Tribolium castaneum: one gene and its partners. The protein of the gene in region 1 purifies or fractionates together with the protein of each later gene. This does not show direct contact. Links are inferred from orthologs where the notes say so. Each region holds a gene or a part of one and is shown in the gene's direction. Other genes may lie near its edges.

Evidence for each region.
Region 2: the proteins of mle (region 1) and Larp7 purify together in Homo sapiens (affinity purification with mass spectrometry; 3 studies listed by BioGRID and IntAct, with this or other methods). This does not show direct contact. The link is inferred for Tribolium castaneum from reciprocal best matches to the Homo sapiens genes DHX9 and LARP7.
Region 3: the proteins of mle (region 1) and Nop56 purify together in Homo sapiens (affinity purification with mass spectrometry; 3 studies listed by BioGRID and IntAct, with this or other methods). This does not show direct contact. The link is inferred for Tribolium castaneum from reciprocal best matches to the Homo sapiens genes DHX9 and NOP56.
Region 4: the proteins of mle (region 1) and P32 purify together in Homo sapiens (affinity purification with mass spectrometry; 3 studies listed by BioGRID and IntAct, with this or other methods). This does not show direct contact. The link is inferred for Tribolium castaneum from reciprocal best matches to the Homo sapiens genes DHX9 and C1QBP.
Region 5: the proteins of mle (region 1) and Dcr-1 purify together in Homo sapiens (co-immunoprecipitation; 3 studies listed by BioGRID and IntAct, with this or other methods). This does not show direct contact. The link is inferred for Tribolium castaneum from reciprocal best matches to the Homo sapiens genes DHX9 and DICER1.

What each region holds. Positions count from the first base shown.
Region 1 is NC_087394.1:36,799,054-36,803,093, forward strand, and holds the start of mle (dosage compensation regulator), read left to right. Parts: upstream 1-1,227; 5' UTR 1,228-1,770; intron 1,771-1,823; 5' UTR 1,824-1,824; coding exon 1,825-1,906; intron 1,907-1,949; coding exon 1,950-2,433; intron 2,434-3,322; exon of another isoform or gene 3,323-3,409; intron 3,410-3,462; coding exon 3,463-4,040. UniProt on the Homo sapiens protein: Multifunctional ATP-dependent nucleic acid helicase that unwinds DNA and RNA in a 3' to 5' direction and that plays important roles in many processes, such as DNA replication, transcriptional activation, post-transcriptional RNA regulation, mRNA translation and RNA-mediated gene silencing.
Region 2 is NC_087394.1:30,502,005-30,506,173, reverse strand, and holds the start of Larp7 (la-related protein 7), read left to right. Parts: upstream 1-1,363; 5' UTR 1,364-1,444; coding exon 1,445-1,619; intron 1,620-1,680; coding exon 1,681-2,518; intron 2,519-2,572; coding exon 2,573-2,795; intron 2,796-2,852; coding exon 2,853-3,131; 3' UTR 3,132-3,350; coding exon of another isoform or gene 3,351-3,626; 3' UTR 3,627-3,676; coding exon of another isoform or gene 3,677-4,048; 3' UTR 4,049-4,169. Other genes in the region: Gar1 (H/ACA ribonucleoprotein complex subunit 1), read right to left, coding at 3,351-3,626, 3,677-4,048. UniProt on the Homo sapiens protein: RNA-binding protein that specifically binds distinct small nuclear RNA (snRNAs) and regulates their processing and function.
Region 3 is NC_087395.1:14,127,676-14,131,510, forward strand, and holds Nop56 (nucleolar protein 56), read left to right. Parts: upstream 1-1,487; 5' UTR 1,488-1,619; coding exon 1,620-1,622; intron 1,623-1,737; coding exon 1,738-2,309; intron 2,310-2,359; coding exon 2,360-3,254; 3' UTR 3,255-3,324; downstream 3,325-3,835. Other genes in the region: wfs1 (wolframin), read left to right, coding at 1-1,414. UniProt on the Homo sapiens protein: Involved in the early to middle stages of 60S ribosomal subunit biogenesis. Required for the biogenesis of box C/D snoRNAs such U3, U8 and U14 snoRNAs. Part of the small subunit (SSU) processome, first precursor of the small eukaryotic ribosomal subunit.
Region 4 is NC_087394.1:7,762,167-7,764,811, reverse strand, and holds the end of P32 (complement component 1 Q subcomponent-binding protein, mitochondrial), read left to right. Parts: intron 1-1,752; coding exon 1,753-1,841; intron 1,842-1,895; coding exon 1,896-2,045; 3' UTR 2,046-2,131; downstream 2,132-2,645. Other genes in the region: GPHR (Golgi pH regulator), read right to left, coding at 2,170-2,436, 2,488-2,645.
Region 5 is NC_087403.1:8,547,439-8,551,450, reverse strand, and holds the start of Dcr-1 (endoribonuclease Dcr-1), read left to right. Parts: upstream 1-1,202; 5' UTR 1,203-1,326; intron 1,327-1,387; 5' UTR 1,388-1,418; coding exon 1,419-2,687; intron 2,688-3,825; coding exon 3,826-4,012. UniProt on the Homo sapiens protein: Double-stranded RNA (dsRNA) endoribonuclease playing a central role in short dsRNA-mediated post-transcriptional gene silencing.

The sequences.
Region 1 (4,040 bases):
TTATTTGCATTAAATTTTGAGCAGCCACTTTCATTCATTGAAATTAAAGACAAAATTACGTGGCAATAAATTATTTGAGTGTTTTATTTTATTTATAGTTTCTGTATCTAAAATGCGTCACTCAAAATGTCACTTTCAACACCGCATTTAAAGATTTTAATTGCAATTAAGTTTTATGAAATTATTGGTTTGTGAAATAAATAAATACGACACAGCAATAAAATACACCTACCTTCATATCGCTTCCTCGTTGGCTACCGTTTGTAGCATTAAAAAAAATAATAATAAAAATGAAACCAAAAAAATGTTTATTTGCATTAAATTTTGAGCAGCCACTTTCATTCATTGAAATTAAAGACAAAATTACGTGGCAATAAATTATTTGAGTGTTTTATTTTATTTATAGTTTCTGTATCTAAAATGCGTCACTCAAAATGTCACTTTCAACACCGCATTTAAAGATTTTAATTGCAATTAAGTTTTATGAAATTATTGGTTTGTGAAATAAATAAATACGACACAGCAATAAAATACACCTACCTTCATATCGCTTCCTCGTTGGCTACCGTTTGTAGCATTAAAAAAAATAATAATAAAAATGAAACCAAAAAAATGTTTATTTGCATTAAATTTTGAGCAAGCCACTTTCATTCATTGAAATTAAAGACAAAATTATTACGTGGCAATAAATTATTTGAGTGTTTGATAATAATTTTATTTACTGTATTTAAAATGTGTCACTCAAACGCGATCACTAGCCACCGAATTGAAAATTTAAACCGGAAAATTTAGATTTGCTTGAACACACGTCCGTTCGCGACAACGGCAAGTAACAAACTGAATAAATTGAACGAAACCGCACAATACACAATAATTTAAATAAACCGACTCACCTCGCTTCGCCTCCCGCTTCCGCTCCCGATCTGACCCGTGCCACTGCTCGCTGTCGACTGAACCGCCCTCGCCGCCTGCGCCGCACACCTAACCTCGGATGTGACGTCATCACACGTCTAAAACAAGTCATAACCAGAAACATTCACTGTCCAAATCCGTCAAATTTAGAAACATTCATACACAGAATTATTCAAAATAGAACAGTATTGATCTAGAAAAGTTAATTATGACAAATGTATTTGTCTATAAACGTCTAAAATTATAAAAGTTTCGCATGCAGTTAATGGAAAAATAAAAATGCATGTTTATATTTAAACAGAAACTGGCAATGTGAAATTTTAGTGCGAAAATTAGTGGTAGAGCTCGGAAACTCTGTAAACGACCACGATAGGCGGAGCCAATGCGTACTTCATCGAGTGAGGAGATTGAGCAGTGGCGTAGCAAAAAACTATTCTATGATCAAGAAGGGTTTGAGATTCATAATTTGTAGTAGTTAAAATTTCCTCTATTCAATAATTGCAAGATGAAATAGTAAAAATCATATCTAATGCTAATACACGTTGATTTCCTAGAAATACAAAGCAGAGAGGTCGAATAAATAAAAATACACAATGAGTAAAGAGTAAAAACGCGTTTATTGCAAAAAATGTTTCTACTGGTATCTTTACTATAACTGGTAATATTGAAATGTTAAACTTTAAGACGAATTCCCTACACATGTAAGTACACGCCACGCCACTGTTTTCTGCCAACACCCCTAATTTAAAGATTGGACTCGTCCGAGACGAGTTTTCGTCTCTGCGCACTCCTACCACCGTGGACGATCTGTCATTTCGCGGACTCTATTCTGTGGTTAAATGTCAAAACTTTTCCAAGGTCGTATTTTTTACCGGCATTTTCTTCGATTAAAAAATACGAAATTTCAATAGGATGTCCGATATAAAATCATTCTTGCACCAGTTCTGCCAGAAGACCAAGAAAGAGCAGCCCCAGTTTGAAGTCCGGCCAACCGGTAAGCCGCAGCCCCTTTTCACCCTTTACTAATTTCCCCAAAGGCCCCAAACACCGCCAGAGATTCCTCTGCGAAGTCCGCATCGATGGCTACAGTTACGTGGGGGCTGGCAATTCCACCAACAAAAAGGACGCCCAAAGCAACGCCGCCCGCGATTTCGTCAGTTACCTCGTCCGGGAAGGCATTGTTAACCCCGCCGACGTGCCCGACTTCCAGGATGCGCCTCCAGGTCCAAACACCGTTCCGATGAATCGGGGGCCCGCCCCTTCGGTGTTTCGACAGGGAATGGGGCCCTCGTCGTTTGGGGAGGCCTACAGGCCTCTGGGGCGCGATCACGACGATTGGCATTACATGAACAGGGCGCAGGAACAGAAGAGTGTGGAGGATGCAGAGGATTTGGATGTGAATGCTCAGATTCATGGCAATTGGACTGTGGAGAATGCAAAGTCAAAGCTGCATCAGTTTATGCAAAGCAATAAAATACACGCGGATTATAAGTATACGCAAGTGGGGCCAGACCATTCCAGGTTGGTATTGAGAGAGTGAGTAGATGGAAGTTTGTGTGGGGGGAGGAGAGAGAGAAAAATAGGCACAGTAGAAAAACTGAAAAATAATAAAATAATAGAGCATAACCAAGAACAGTGACAGAATAATTTATTTTGTTTATTGTTTACTCACGTTTTTCTTCTGGCCTTGGAAATTTAACATTTCCCCTGCACTGTTTATTTTAAATATTTTTTGTATAAGAGAACGAGAATAAAAAATAAAGAAAGAACCGTAATAATAAAATAAATATACATAATAAAAAATACCAAAAATAGAAAAAAAAACGAAAAGAAGGAAAAAATGTTGTTTTTTTTTTTTTTTAATTAAATCTGCAATAGAGAATGAGGCACCAATAGAAGAAATAATAAAAAAATGTAAGGAGTAAAGACAGATAAGCAAAGCCAAGAACAGTGGATAGAATAATTTATTTTCATTATTATTTTATCCATTCACGATTTTTTTTTCTGGCTTTGAAAAAACCAACATTTCTGCCAGAAGGATTATTGTTATTGTTTGACTATTTATGGTTTGAAAATTTTTAGAAAAAAATGAAAGATTGAAGAAATTAAAATTTTTCTATCTTTTTTATTTTTTTCTGCAGAGAAAAAATAGTAGAGGTGGAAAAGCAGAACTAAGTACAGTGGATAGAATAATTTATTTCGTTTATTTACCAAAAAATTCACGATTTTCTTTCTGGAAAGAAGGAAGTTGTGAATGCGTTTATGTTTTATTTAACCAATTGAATGGCATTTTGATAATAGAGTTACTGGTTTGATTAAAAAATTAGTAACTTTGAGGTCATTTTTTTATTTATGAAACTTCTGTTTTACTTCTTGCAGTAGTTTCTTAAATAATAATTTTCCACTGCAGCTACCGTGGGAACAACTCAAATATTTTACTGTTCTTGGTTCTGTTTTTCCTCCAAGGTACAATATAAAAACTCTGCATTATACACTTGTAAGTATACTTTTAATCCCCTATTTCTCAACTGTAATGCTCCCATTTCTTAGGACTTTTGTGGCCGAAATGAGCTTCTACGTCAAGCAACTCGGACGTACAATAACCGGTCGTGATTCCGGTTCAAATAAGCAAACCGCTAGTAAAAGTTGCGCTCTTTCCATCATTCGCCAACTGTTCCATCTCGGTGTAATTGAAGCATTTTCCGGAACACTTAAAAAAGAGAAAACCGGCAGTGAAATGAAACCTTTCGATGTAAAAATCTCCCCAGATTTACAAAAACAAATCAAAGATTGCCTCGACACTTTGAATATCACTCCGGTTGAGGTTAAACCGGAAAGCGAAAGCCAACCGGTTTCACTTTTGAGCAATCACATTTTGGACGACTTTCAAGCCTCCAAACCGATAGCTGCAGGAGTTGTCCCATGGTCGCCTCCTCAACAAAATTGGAATCCTTGGACTGGGTGCAACATTGATGAGGGCCCCCTTGCCAACGCCAACTTGGACGAGTTGAGCGAACATTTGGCCGAAGAAACCAAACAAAAATTGAATCATGACGTTGATTTGAAAGCTATCATTAGTGAGAGACAAGGTTTGCCAGTGTATTCAATGAAGGGGCAAATTATGGCCG
Region 2 (4,169 bases), about 6.3 Mb from region 1:
AAAAGATAAATAATAATCTATAAGTAGGTATTCAGGTTGTATGATGATTGAACGTGCTTATAATTATTGTAACATTATCCACTTGCCTATCGTCTGCTAAAACTTCATGCAGACGTTAGTTTGAGTGACTTAGATAAAAGACTTAAGCCTAATTTATCTTGATGACTTAAATGCTTGTTATCTACTTGTTAATAAAACAATGACATCAGTAAATCGTTTTACAATGTGAGTACAATTAAGTACACACATAAATGATATGAATAGGGTACAAAGTTTTAATTTAAGTCACTTGACTTTTTTTATTGATAGCTGGTGTATCTAAATACAAAAAGTAGTTATAAACATTTGGATAGGACAAGTTGTAGTTATTCTAACGTTTGTTTTCTTTGTTTGTTTGTTGTTATTTTGTATTTCGTATTATTTTAAACTTTTAACTAGAAAAAACTTATACATTTACGGATCAATATTGTGGATCAATGATTCTTTTAGACCAGAATTAAATTAAAATTGCAAGGACTAACAATTAAAAAAATTAATGTGTTTTTCAAAATATCTTTGCAAATGTACATACTATAACTTTTTATTTTGAATTTGCCTCATTAATTGTGGCCAAAAGCCAAAAGATAAAAACATCTCCAAAAGTACATAGTTAAATAATAAATAAGCACGAAAAAACATCGGCAAAGATACTATGAGTTAGTTATGATAAATGTTTTTTTTAAATGACTGTTGTAATTTAATCTGATGAATAATTTTACTTATGGTTTCATAAAATTTAAACCTATTGTAAGATTGCTCAAGTTGGTGGCTTATATGTTGCTAAGGCGATAACATCAGTACTTATACGTGCTGATGTTTAAATTTCACAATCCATAAGGCAAACAATATAAGTATGTCAGTGATTTAAGTAACTTAATGTAATAAACAACTTACTTTTATCATTTTATCGGTGACTTTATAGTTCGTTTCTAAGAAAGATGAAATCAAGGTGAGTATTCAGTTTCACATAATGGATTATTTGAAACGATTTGAAGTACTATTCAAATTCATGGTAAAACTTAATTAAATTAGTTAATAAAGTATAAAAGTTTTTTTTTCATAATCTAAACTAAATACATAGAGTTATTCACTTAAGACTTCACGCCTGATTAGGTAAAAAGTGCAGCACACAATGCACTAGGAGTAGCATGGGTGTAATTGATACAACTAAACATAATTATTTTTTGAATAAGAGCTATCTCCTATGAATAAGAGTAAGCGGCGTATAATTTAAAAAGTAAATGATTTTTTTTGCATTCTAAAAACATTTTTTTTAATTAGGCAACCAAATTTACCTCCAACAAATATTTTTTTTCTATGGTTGGCGGCAGTTTCTTTTTCAATTTCATTTCCAAACGCTAAGTTAGGTTATAATTTTCATTTTTACTTCTGCAAAGTATTGAAAATGGAAAATGAAACGAAAGAAAATGCAAATGCACACGACGATTCAATACTTAAAAAAGGTCGCCATCGAAAAAAGCAACTCTACAATTCCATTTTGCAGCAAATGGAATTTTATTTTAGCGACTCTAACCTCACCAAAGATAGATTTCTATCTCAATTAATAAAGGAGAATCCTTGTAAGTGACTATATGATTATTTTATGAGTAGTTGTAGGTAAATACCAAGCACTTTTTTCAGTTGTCGACCTGAACGTATTTTTGAAATTTAACAAAATTACTAAACTCACAACCAGCATAGATGATATCCAAAAAGCTGTACAAAAGTCGCAGTTAATCGAATTATCAGAAGATCGTAGTAGAATTCGTCGTACAAAACCGGTTAAAGAAAAGGCTAACGTTGATGATTGTACGATTTATGTAGAACGCCTAAAATCCGATGCAACTCATGAATGGTTGAACTCTGTTTTTTCTGAATTTGGAAATGTGGTCTACGTTTCTATACCAAAATACAAAAACAATAGTGCCATAAAGGGTTTTGCTTTTGTCGAATTCGAGAAAGAAAAGGAAGCGCAAAATGCTTTAAATTACTTTGAAAGCATTGGCTGCAAAATGCCGTCAAATACAGAACCAGAAACTCTTTGTAGTATTAAAACATTTGAAGAAAGTAATGAACAATCTGAGGCTTCCTCTAAAAATTCTACACTGAAGCCAAAATCTGGAGAAGACGAAAAGGCAACAAAAAAGCGAAAACTTGAAGACAATAGTGAGAATAGCGAAAAACTAGATAGTGAACACTGTGAGAGTAAAGCGGAGGAAAAAATAAGAAAACGAAAACTTGAAGAAAGTGAATCCGGCGAAAGTGAAGAAAAAGGGAAAAAAATGAAAGTCGATGATAGTAAGCACACTGAAGAAAATGATGAACACAGTGAAAGTGACGAAAAAGAAAAAAATTCAAAACATGATACTGGAGACGTTTCTGAGTCGGACGATGCCGAAAATAAGAAAAAGAAGAAATTGAAAAAAGAACACAAAAAGAAAAATTACATAAAAGAATTGGGCCTCCAAGTGTTATCAAAGTAAGTGAAGCAGCTAGAATTATCTTTAATCATTGATAAATAATTGTTTTTTAGAAAAGAGTGGAAAAAGATGCGAAATCGGTATCTAGATTTACAAAAGAAGAAAATGAAAGAGTTTAAAAAACACCTTCTAAAAGCCAAGTTTAATCAACCAAATTATGAACAAAAGTCGAAAACTCCCACTGCTAAGACTGAACTCAACAAAGAGGATTTTACCAAGGGACTTATTGTAAAAATAAAGCTAACCGAAGCTACCCTGGATATAAAGAAACTTAAGGTAAATTTTCTAAACTAAATATCTTGGCCAATTTATTTGCGATAAATCGTTTTTCAGAATGAAATTAAAACTTCTTCAGCTGATATATTGTACGTAGATATTCCAAACCCTGGCAGTGAGAACATTTATGTAAGATTTAACACCACGGAGGGCGCTAAAAATTTTTGCTCCCAAGAATCTTTTGGCAAAAAAGAGGTATTAACAGGACAGGAAGAATCTTCATATTGGGAAAAAATTAAAACAGATCGTGAGGATAAACTAAACAAAGCAAAAAAGAAACAACGTGGTAGAGACAAACTGTTAAAGAAAGCAAAACATACAAAATTTGATGATTAAGGTTTTGTTTTCAGTTTAAATTTTTTTTAAATATTCTTTATTTATTAACTTTGTCAAACAGTGGCACCATCCATTTCGTGTTGTTTGCTGACATATTCACACAAAAATTTGAAATAACCTGTAGTTCTTATTTTTCATAGATCTATTTTCGTAATAAAAATTTCATACACTTAATGGAACAATTGCCAACCACAAAAAACATTGGTCACAATTTCAAGTCTACCACCTCTTGCCGCCGCCGCCCCCTCCTCGGCCGCCGCCAAATCCACCCCCACGACCACCTCTAAAACCGCCGCCGCCCCCACGACCCCCACGTCCACCGAAATTGCCGCCTCCTCTTCCTCCAAACCCGCCGCGATTGCCGCCCCCTCTGCCACCACCGCGGCCTCCGCCACCCCCACGACCTCCCCCTCGACCGCCTCGTTTCTGGACTGAGCCTGGGGGCTTCGGTAGGAATCTTTGAAGTGGTAACAACTTCGCAGGATCAATAAACAACTGCAAAACATTATTTTAGATGTGTGAATGGTAAGTGAATTTTTTTATACCTTTTGATTCTTTTTAAAACTGCTAGCTTTTATGTCGTCTCCGAGACGTATCGAAACGTAATAATCTCTGAGATTTCCAAAAATTTCATCAATTTTTCCGATTTGTTCCTTATTTTCGAGGTAAATCGGCGCATTGAAAAATGGAACGTCTTCTATTTCTACTTTAGCAACTAAATCATCTTGTACGGTGTAATCGAAGTAGCCCAAAGGAATCACTCTCTCAGGAGGGCCTTGATCATAGTTTCGCCCGCCGCCCCCGCGACCACCAAAACTATTTCTCCCGCCGCCTCCACCAAAATTTCGAGCGCCGCCGCCCCCACGACCACGACCTCCAAAGCCGCCACCACCGCCGCCTCGGCCACGAAAAGACATTTTGTTTCACTCCTCAAATAATTAGAAACGTAAAAGAGCGTCCCTTTGTAAACACGTGGTTTACACTAAATTTTCAGTGCGGCAACATAACCTCTCCTGCAAACGTAACCTCCAACTGTAA
Region 3 (3,835 bases), on another chromosome or scaffold:
GATCCCCCAGTCTGAATTAATGATAATTTCGTTCTGTCTCACGTTTGCAACCCTTCTAGGCTTCATGTACAAGAGACGGGGGAAGACAGTTTTCGACCTTTTGGTGTTTTTCAGTTTTGGGATTAACGTCCTTGCGAAATACCCCTACGAGACTGATCCAGTGGTGGCACAAGGTTGGCGCTTTCTCGACCTAAAAATCCCAACTTTCGCCAGCTATGTGATAGGAAACGGCATCGAATTTTGTATCAATTTCCGCCTGTTTCTCTACATGTTTATCCCGCTTTTGTTGGTCAAAATCGCCTCACGCCAGGATTGGAAAGGCACGTACCAAATGTTGATCCCCCACTGTGTGACCCTGAGCTGGCTCCAGGTGTGCATTGTGAGCTCCGAGGGGGCCACAATGTACGGCCTGTTGCGCGGCAGCTTGGCCTTAGTGGGGGTGGTGCTGTTCCTGCCCCTAGTGGGGCTCACAAGTGTGATACTCCCCGCAGCTGCGCTAGCGAAATGGGTCGTGGCTTCGAATTTTTTTCTCGGGGTTTGTGTCTTCGTGGGGGCCACCGGGTTAGGCCTGGCGGTATGTTGGGTTTGTGCCCAAACGAGGTTCAGCAAAATCACCGCTTTTATTCAAGTCGTTTCGACGATTTTTGCTGTTTTAACCCTCATTAAGTCAAATTACAAAAATGAGGAACACTATTTTGAAAATAAACTACCCGAGTATTTGTCGTGGGACGTTTATCAGCGGTTTTGCCACCAGCCGGTGTGGCAGGAGGAAAACATCGCAATTGCTCAAGTGAAGTGCTCCGAACTGCACAACTCGCACATCAATTGGGACGGTTACATCAACGATATTAAAATTTCGTCGATCTCGAATAAGTTCCAAACGATTATTGATCACTTCCCTGTGACTTTGCGCCATTATCTTTACTGTTTTTACGGGGAAGAGACTCGAAATGATTGTACTGATTTCCCCCCCGCGGTTCGTGAAGAGTGCAGCTCGTTCTACAATGCAATAAAATCGACTAAAACGTGTTCGCTTCAAAAATACAATTCGTACACGTTTGAAATAACAACGAAAGTGCAGTCAGCGATTTGGGGCAAAAGCCCCGAAGTCACTCTTGTAGTTGACGATTATTTTCGAAATTTCACCCTGGGGCTTAAGCCAAATGACCACATTTGGTTCAAAGGCACGTTGTTTAATAACGAGGTTGTGGGGTCCGATGGGATTTTAGGGGGGTTCAAAACCCATGTAAAATTGGACGAAATTGGTTGCCTTGCGTGTAGTAATAATAAACTGACGAATGTTAAAAAAGAGATTGAATCTAGATTTGATATTAAGAATGTTATTGATGGTCTCGTTTTGGGACTCAAGTTTGTCCTCAATGTTATTTTAAGTCCAGTCGTAGTGTTTAAGTGATTTGTTACGTAACTTATTGAGAATTGTATTTATTTATGTTAATAAATGTAAGAGATTATTTAAGTTGTGCGCCAGAATTTAAATTTTCGTCAGCTCCACCACTACACTGCCGTAAAAATTACCAGCGAAATCGCGCAAACACGTGTGATTGTGATGCGTGCTGTTATAGAATTTAATTAATTTTAGCCCAATTTTATGCCTAATTATGGTAAGAATTCAATATTGCATAACTAGAACATTGCTAATTGCTCGTTTTTTGGAACAAGCAAAGTTATAGCAATGTTTGTAAATATAACCTCACTCTAGCGCCGCATGTTTTTCAGTCTAAACTTTATGTGTTATTCGAGCACGCTGCCGGCTATGGGGTTTTCAAAGTGCAGGAATTTGAAGAAATCGGTATGCTGCTGCCCCAGTTGGAGGCAGCCGTGCACGACCTAGCCCGCTTCAATAGCGTAGTCGAACTCGTTGGTTTTTCGCCGTTTAAAACAGCCATTGCGGCTTTAGAAAGCATCAATGCAATCTCGGAGGGTGTTTTACCCGAAGATTTGCTACACTTTTTGGACATCACAGTCCCGAAAAGTAAGAAAAAGAATAAGCTTACGTTGGGGGTGAGTGACCCCAAGTTGGGGGCTGCCATCACCGAAGCGCTTGGGATACAATGTAGCCACGTCGGAGCTGTCCCGGAGGTAATCAGGGGTATCAGGCACCATTTCCATAACCTTGTGAAAGGTTTCACTCAGAAAAGCTCAGCCGTGGCCCAACTGGGGCTCGGGCATGCATATTCACGAGCCAAGGTCAAGTTTAACGTCCACAGAGTTGACAATATGATAATACAATCCATAGCTCTTTTGGACCAACTCGACAAAGACATCAACACTTTCTCGATGAGAATTCGGTACGATTTTGCGAATTGTCCAAATTTTCTTTCTAACAAGTGTATTGCAGCGAATGGTACTCTTACCATTTCCCGGAGTTGGTGAAAATAGTCCCCGAGAACTACACCTACGCCCGTTTGGCAAAATTCATCAAAAACCGCAAAGAACTAAGCGAGGACTCTCTCGAGGGCTTGGAAGAAATCACGATGGATTCAGGCAAAGCCCAGGCGATTTTGGACGCCTCCAAGTCCAGCATGGGCATGGACATAAGCGTTGTTGATCTACTGAACATCGAAATGTTTGCCGGCCGGGTGATAGCTCTAGCCGACTACAGAAACCAACTTTCCGAATATTTGAAGACAAAAATGACCGACGTGGCCCCAAATCTGGCCAAACTAATCGGCGAACAAGTGGGGGCGCGCTTGATCGCCCACGCTGGGTCTCTGACAAACCTTGCCAAGTACCCGGCGTCCACGGTTCAGATCCTCGGGGCTGAAAAAGCCCTTTTCAGGGCTCTTAAAACCAGGGGGAACACCCCGAAGTACGGCTTACTCTTCCACTCCACTTTCATAGGGCGAGCTGGGGCTAAGAACAAGGGGCGCATCTCGCGATATTTGGCGAACAAGTGCTCGATCGCATCGCGAATCGACTGCTTCACTGAACAACCGACGCAGATTTTTGGCGAGAAGTTGAGGCAACAAGTTGAAGACAGGCTCAAGTTTTACGAGACAGGGGACGTCCCCAAGAAGAATATCGAAGTCATGAAGGAGGCGATGGAGGAGTTGGAGCAAGAAACGGCGCACAATAAGTCCGAGAAGAAGAAGAAAAAGAAGAAACATAAGCTGAACGAGACGAGTGAGTCTGTGGGAGAGAATGGCGTGGACCAGACGACCAATGGGAATGCAGATGAGGCGGAGGAGCCGCCCAAAAAGAAGAAGAAGAAAAATAAGCAGGAAGTTGAGTAATTGTTTGTTTGAGAGTCGGGTATTTTTATTCTTGTATAATCTATTATTTTTAAATAGATACTTGATCAAATTGAGGTCGTAATGCTTAAACCTGTTATCCTACCAATAAAACCATGGGTAATATTCACAACAATTTATTTTATATGTTTTTACAATAAACTAAATGAGCGGAATGTTCAAACAGTTACTAACTGTAACATGGATAGTGTTATCGATAATAAGGCACCACGGTATCGCAACCTTCAACGAAAAAGAAAAAACTGCCGATAGGTCGAATTTGTTTTTATTTTATAGAAAATTATTAACAATGCAATATTGCTTTATCTGTTTGCTAACAGAGCCGATTTTGCTGTTCCTACAAATTAGTTGTATAAATAGTTGCGTAATACTAAATAAAATATGAACAAACTTAAATGTACCCAGCACCCTCATGAGCATTGTAATACAACCAAACGGACTATACAAAATATGTGCAAGAAAACCGTTTTTAAAAACTATAAACGCAAGACCAATTGGCTCAATCTCAACGATTAAAGTACAATCTTTGGAATTTCGAATAAAAATTAGGTGCTTTAAAAGCT
Region 4 (2,645 bases), about 29 Mb from region 1:
TTAAAATTGGTAAAAATAATATCATTTTTTACCTTTTGCGATTTTTGTGTCCAATTATACGGAAAACTCGCAAACAGATTAAGGTTTTATCTCAGAAACGCGCTTACATGCTTGAAAAAGGTAAAAATACTATTCTCAATAGGTTTTATTTTTGACGAATTTTCTCGAAGTAATTACGTTTTTGTTTAAAAAACGTTTTGGAATCTTCAGTAAAAGTAAAAATAACACCTTTCTCAGCTTTAGTAACGCTTTTATTTAAATTTTATAATATGTTGCCAACTAATTTTTGTAATTTACCTTTATATGTTTTTAAAAGAAAGTTAAAAGATTTTTCATTTAGGAACTGTGTCTATGACTTTGATGAATATTTTCGCTGCAATTTCAGTGACTTGTAGATTTTTTTTTAGTTTGCACGTTTCTTATTTTATTGACGTGTTATGACGCACTGTTTTTAAACACCAATAAAACTATTTCTATTTATTTTACATATGTTTTTTTATATTAGCGAAATTACGCAAAAAATTACCTTATTTTTAAGCTAATTTAGTGATTTCTGAGCTAAGTTTTTTTACAACGTTTTGAAAAACAATCGAATATTTCTGGACGAAAAACGTGGTAAAACGGTTAAAATTGGCAAAAATAATTACATTTGACCTAATTTTGTTTAGCTAGCGAAACTGTGGGGAAAATAAAGAAAAAAATCTCGAAAAGGCAAACATTTTATTATTCTTACCCTTTTATGAGATTTTTGTGTCCGGTTTTACGGAAAACTTGCAAAAAGATTGGGATCTTACCTCAGAAATATGCTTACACGCTTAAAAATGTAAAAATTGTGTTTTTAGTTAGTACAGGTCAATCGGTTACTCTTTTTGTTTTGTTTTTGTTGTTTTTGACGAATTTTCTTGAAGTAGTTGCGTTCTTGCTTGAAAAATTAGACCATTCTCAGCTTTAGTAACGCTTTTACAAGTTTTTTTTTACTTTTATTCGCAATCGGATGCTTATTGTTTTGACCAAATTTTGCAAAATAAATGAAGCGAATAAAACAAGATGAAATAACATTTCATATGGAGATATCTAGATTTGATTATAGCAAAATCCTGCAAAAAGACTGGAGGTTTTAGCTCTGAAACATGCTTACACGTTTGACAAAATGTAAAAATATCATTTCAAAATAATTTCGGGTGATTTTTTAGTTAATTCTTGCTTGAATAACGAAATCTTACAATAAGTCCAAAAACGTGCTTACACGTTAGAAATGACAAAAAAAATCTAAAAATTATTTTGATGATTTGTCGGCTGATTTGTGACGAAATTTTTCGAAATAATGAACAGATTAAATCTCGCGAAAAAGATTACGCTATGTTCGAGCTAAGTTAGTGATTTCCTGAATTATTTCTGATATTTAAAAATAATAATTGTATTTCTGACTGAGAAAAGGCTTAAATATTTCTAATAATACACATACATGCCTTAAGTGAAATCTTGTTTCTGGATGAAAAACGTTCATAAATGGCAAAAACAATGTGATTATAGTGACAATGACCGTTTTTAGATTAACCCTGTATTTTTCTCTTGTTTTTTTAATAATATTTAGCGAAATGATTGGATTTCTGGCTGAAAAACGTACGAAAACATTGAAAATGCAATGTTTTTTTTGTACAGTGCATTATTATTTTGCATTAAAATGTTTCAGCTTTTATTTATAAAATTAGTGATTGACTTACACTAAGTTGTTACATCAATTTTTTACAGATGACATATTTAGAGTCGATGAGATCAGTTTGTACGATGGGACATGGAATGAAAATGTTTATGCAGTAGCATCAGACGTTTTAGATACCGTAAGTAATGTAGTATTATAACAGTTTTTTTTATTACTGCTTTACAATTTTCAGTATTTGTATGACCTTATCCTTAACTATTTGGAGGAAAAGGGAATCTCTAACGAATTTGTTGGAAAATTATCAGATTTCAGCACATCTTATGAGCACTCGGCTTACATTGGTCTTTTAGAAGGATTATCAAAGTTCGTTTCTGGGAAGTAATCAGATTAAGTATGTAACATAATATAATCACTAGGTCTAAAGTTTTTGTTCAATAAACATTACACGTCATTTTAACTACGTAAAAACGAACCTTTTATTTCCTTTATTTATCACAAGATTTCAATTATAAATTTTCATGCACTGGTTGTTTATGGGCCAAATAGAGCGTAACAATGCTGCCCAAAGCGCTTACTAAAAATATCACGTCAAACCAACGATGGTAGAAATTAAATTGTAAATCTCCCAAAACTTGAGTGATGATAGTTCGGTATTGTGGGGGCATATTCATTCGCATTAGAAGCACTGATGATACGAAGTACATGCCCATTATTTGGGCTAAAATAAGTACGATTATGTTGGAACTCTTGCTTGACGACATTCTGTTAAAAAACTGCAAGAAATTACATAATTACACAATTGGGATTTTTTTTTTCTAACTTACTTTAGTCAACGTTAGTAGTAAACCTCTGATTGACGTGACAACAATACATCCAACTAAATAAAACGAAACTTGTTGCGACCAAAAATTCACGTCGAAATTGAATCCCATCCAGTGGATGGCAATCTCAATACCTCTTGTAACAGGATCCTTTTTCCCTA
Region 5 (4,012 bases), on another chromosome or scaffold:
AAAATGTGTTGAATAAAGTTGTGTATAAACATTAATAAATTGTGAACGGTGTCTTTAAATGCCAGATTCATTGCTGACGACTAAACATATTTCGACTATTCTACACATTAACGGATCAAGAAAAAAAAATGTACATAGTTTCCCCATCTAAGAATTCTACTTTGAAGACACAGAATTAAAGCAAAGTCAAGCCGCAGAAAAAACACTTTTATTTTTTGAAATTCGAGAACTTCAAAATACGAGTGTGCTAAAAAGCTTATTTAAGCAGTTAGGCACGCTTTCTATCTACCAAAAAAAGTGTTTATCACTCATTACCACATAATAAAATATAAGTACAACAACTTTTCTATAAAAGCATTTTGCAAAAGTATTCATTATTTTTACTATTTCCCTCCTTTCCTGTAATAATTGATTCGCCTTTTGGGGGCCATTCTGAACACTGTAATGAATTTTTAAAGATAAAGTTTGCGAAATCGGGAAATTTTAAAGAATCTTTAAAAATTCATTAAAGTTCCAAGGGGTACTTTATGATTTTTTTACAGTCGAAGGCCCTATCGAAGAGCTTAATTTCCTGCAAAAATAAAGAAAATTGCAGGATATAAAGTGGGTGAAGAAAATAAAGTTTGCAAAATAGAGGAACTTTATAAAAATTAAAAAAAATTGTTAAGGTCCCAAGGGTGTTTGTCCGAACATGATTTTTTTACAGTCTCCTGCAAAATAATCTCCTGTAAAAATAAGGAAAATTACATAATATAAAGTAGATGAAAAAAAAAGTTTGCGACATCGGAAAATCTTTAAGAATCTTTAAAAATCCATTTTTACAGTCGAAGGCCCTATCGAAGGACTCTTCTTTTACAAAGATAAAGAAAATTGCAGAATATAAAGGGGGTGAAAAAAAATCAGTTTGCATTGCTTGAATATGAGAATAAAAAATGCAGAAATTAAATACAGTTAAGTTTTAATTTGTAATAGAAACACATTATAATGGTCAGGAGATTTTCTACAAATGTGATATGCAAGTCAGCGTAACAGCTTATTGATGTTTTTATAATGATTTACGATTATTTTGATAAATTTTCTGGTGTGAATTGGCTGCAGAAAACGAGAATGGTGGGGAAATAAATTGTCTGGTCGACTGTAATATTGATGGTGCCAGCACCATTTTTGAACCATGCTCTTCACCGACATTCAATTTTTTTGGAGTGATTGTCAAAACGCTGTCAACTGTCAAAACCCGCTCGGTCTGTGTGGTGTTGTTTGAATCTAAACTGGTATTTTTGTGATAATTTGTATATTCCAAGTGAGAAAAGATGTATCCCGTTGGTGGTGAGACGTCTCTAAGTTAGTTCAATCATAATCAGCAATAATAGCAACGAAAAATGCTTAGATAAGTCCTCCGTTGTGTACAGCACCCCTACATGGCTTGTTATTTAAACGAAAATGTTTACACGCACACGTTTACCCCACGAGAGTATCAAGTGGAGCTGCTGGACAGCGCTAAGAAGCGTAATACAATCGTATGTTCGAGTGCGAGTTCGGCGAAAGCGTTTATAACAATAAAACTGCTGCAAGAGTTCTCCCACAAGATGCGGGTGCCCCACGGAAAGCAGGCTTTATTCGTGCTGGACGGCCCGAACGTCCCGATAATGACGTCGCACGTGAAGCTGCTGACCGATCTGACCGTTACGAGCATAGATAAAGAGGAAAACCCCCCGTCGTTGAAGGCAAGCAATGTGATTGTGACCACAGCCGAAGTCTGTGTGCTTCTATGTAAGAAGAACTTCGTTCATTTGGACAGTTACGCTCTAATCGTGATAGACTGCTTATACGGGGGGCAACAGTCGTTAGTTAGGGAAATTATGGCCCGGTATCAGGCGATTCAAGCGCCCAGACCTCGAATTTTGGGCCTGACTGCCGGTCTTTTGGGCTCCGAGATGCAACCCGATCGTCTAGAAGCCGAATTACAACGCTTAGAAAAATTACTTAGTTCCTCGGTAGACACTTCTAGTGAAATTCTCACGCTGATACGCTTATCTTGTCGGCCGCGCGAACGCATAGTCGAGTGCTTTAAACCCATTCCAAGCCCTTTGCAGGACAAAATCAAGGCCACTATAACCTCCTGTCAGGATTTCCTCAAGGACCACCGCTACGATCCGAGCGAAATCTACGACGATGACTTGCTCGAGGAATTCAAGCAAGTCCCAGACCCCAAGGAACAGCCTTTGAGCTTCTTCGACGACTTCCTCGAAATTCTGGACGATTTGGGGCCCTGGTCGGCCGACAGAGCCGCCTATGGCATGCTTATCAAGATCGAGAAGCTCAAAGTCAAAGTTCCTTACGAAAGACATTATTTATTGTTATGCGTTGCTTCATCAGTATTAGTTTCGATAAGGGCTCTCTGCGAACTCGAATTCCAAGACTACACAGATAAGGAAAAGGTGTTTCGTTTCTCAACGCCGAAAGTACTCAGATTTCTCCAAGTTCTAAAGCAGTTTAAACCGACCGGTGATAAGCCGGAAACTTGCGACAAACTACCAGACCTCAAAGACCCCAAGAAGGGAAAAGGGAAAAACTACAAAGGGCCCCGAAGGCCGTACATCTCGCGCGCGCAAAGCGACGAGATGCTCTGCGCACTCGTTTTCGTCAAAAATCGCTACAAGGCGGAGGCCCTCTTCGCCCTACTGTGTGTAAGTAAAGCAGACGTGTTCCTGTAAGGCTAAGGGGTTGCCCTAAAGTGCCATCGTGTTTTAATGCTGCCTGTCGCAAGGTTTTGCCACAGAACTAACACTAAAATCATAAATTGAAGAAGTACGTTTATTTTGTAACTTATGATCTGTTTAAAAACTACTTTAAAGCCCTTGATGTTTAACACAAAATTAAAACAGGAAAAATATCTGACAACTAATTGTTTGGACTAAAAAAAGGAAAAACTTTCTAGTAGTTCGTGATTTATTTTTTTTGGGGGTTTAATGAGGTCACGACTTCCCACTGGCATACTTTTAATGATCTGTCACAGAATTTTAGCGTTTTTTGTTGCAAATGTGTTCTATTTTATTTTTTAAATCTTTCACCACTGTGGAAGATTTTTAAGATAATTTTTCATTTTGTGCCAAAAAGACACAAGACATATTTAAATCAGGCCTGTTTGCTGACCAAGACATAACATTAATGTGAGAATTACCGAATCATTAGGTATTTCAAATGTTTTGCTGTGTGACAAGAAGCATAATTTTTTTGTATAATTTTTCAGTCGGTGGTAATAAATGTTTTTGCAAAATATATTTGATGGTGTTCATGAACTCAAACCCACACCGTTTACAAACATGTATCATACCATTAGCAAATTTAAGCGTACTTTTGAGACAGTCTTTGTGAAAGATCTCTTGGTTATTTATTACTCGTTTTTGAGAATTGAGAATTTCAGCAGTGAGTAATGTTTTTTTTTCTTGTTAATGATAGTCAATTTTGGTGTTAAATTTCTTAGCGTTTATATATTTAGTTGCCAAGCTCAAGTGGATATATTTACAAAAAACACTAGAGTATTTAGAGAACTGCATAAGTTTGAAGTGATTTTATTTTTCCTTTAAACGTGAAGCATTTACTTCTCTCACTTTTGCTAAGAAATTCTTTTCTTTTGAAAAGAAGAAGCAACGCAAGTCTAGTTTATCTTTAATAGTCTAATGCTATTTTTGTTTATATTTATCTGCTTGACTTCATGGTTTGAACTCGAGCTTCTATTCTTTGGGCAAAATCTTGCGATACTAAGCTGGTCCCCTCAGCCTTAGAAATTGATGGTTTGCCCGCTGATTGTTTGCATTGTGTCAGGTGATGTCAAAGAGCGACGAGGAGTATTGGTGGGTGTCGGTTTCGTTCTCCGTGAATAAGATCGCAGATCCGGTGCGCGAGCCTCGGGAGGCGGAATCCGAGCATAAAAGGCAGGAGGAAGTTTTGCGGAAGTACAGAAGTCACGAATGCAATATAATGATAGCAACGTCGGCGTTAGAACAAGGCT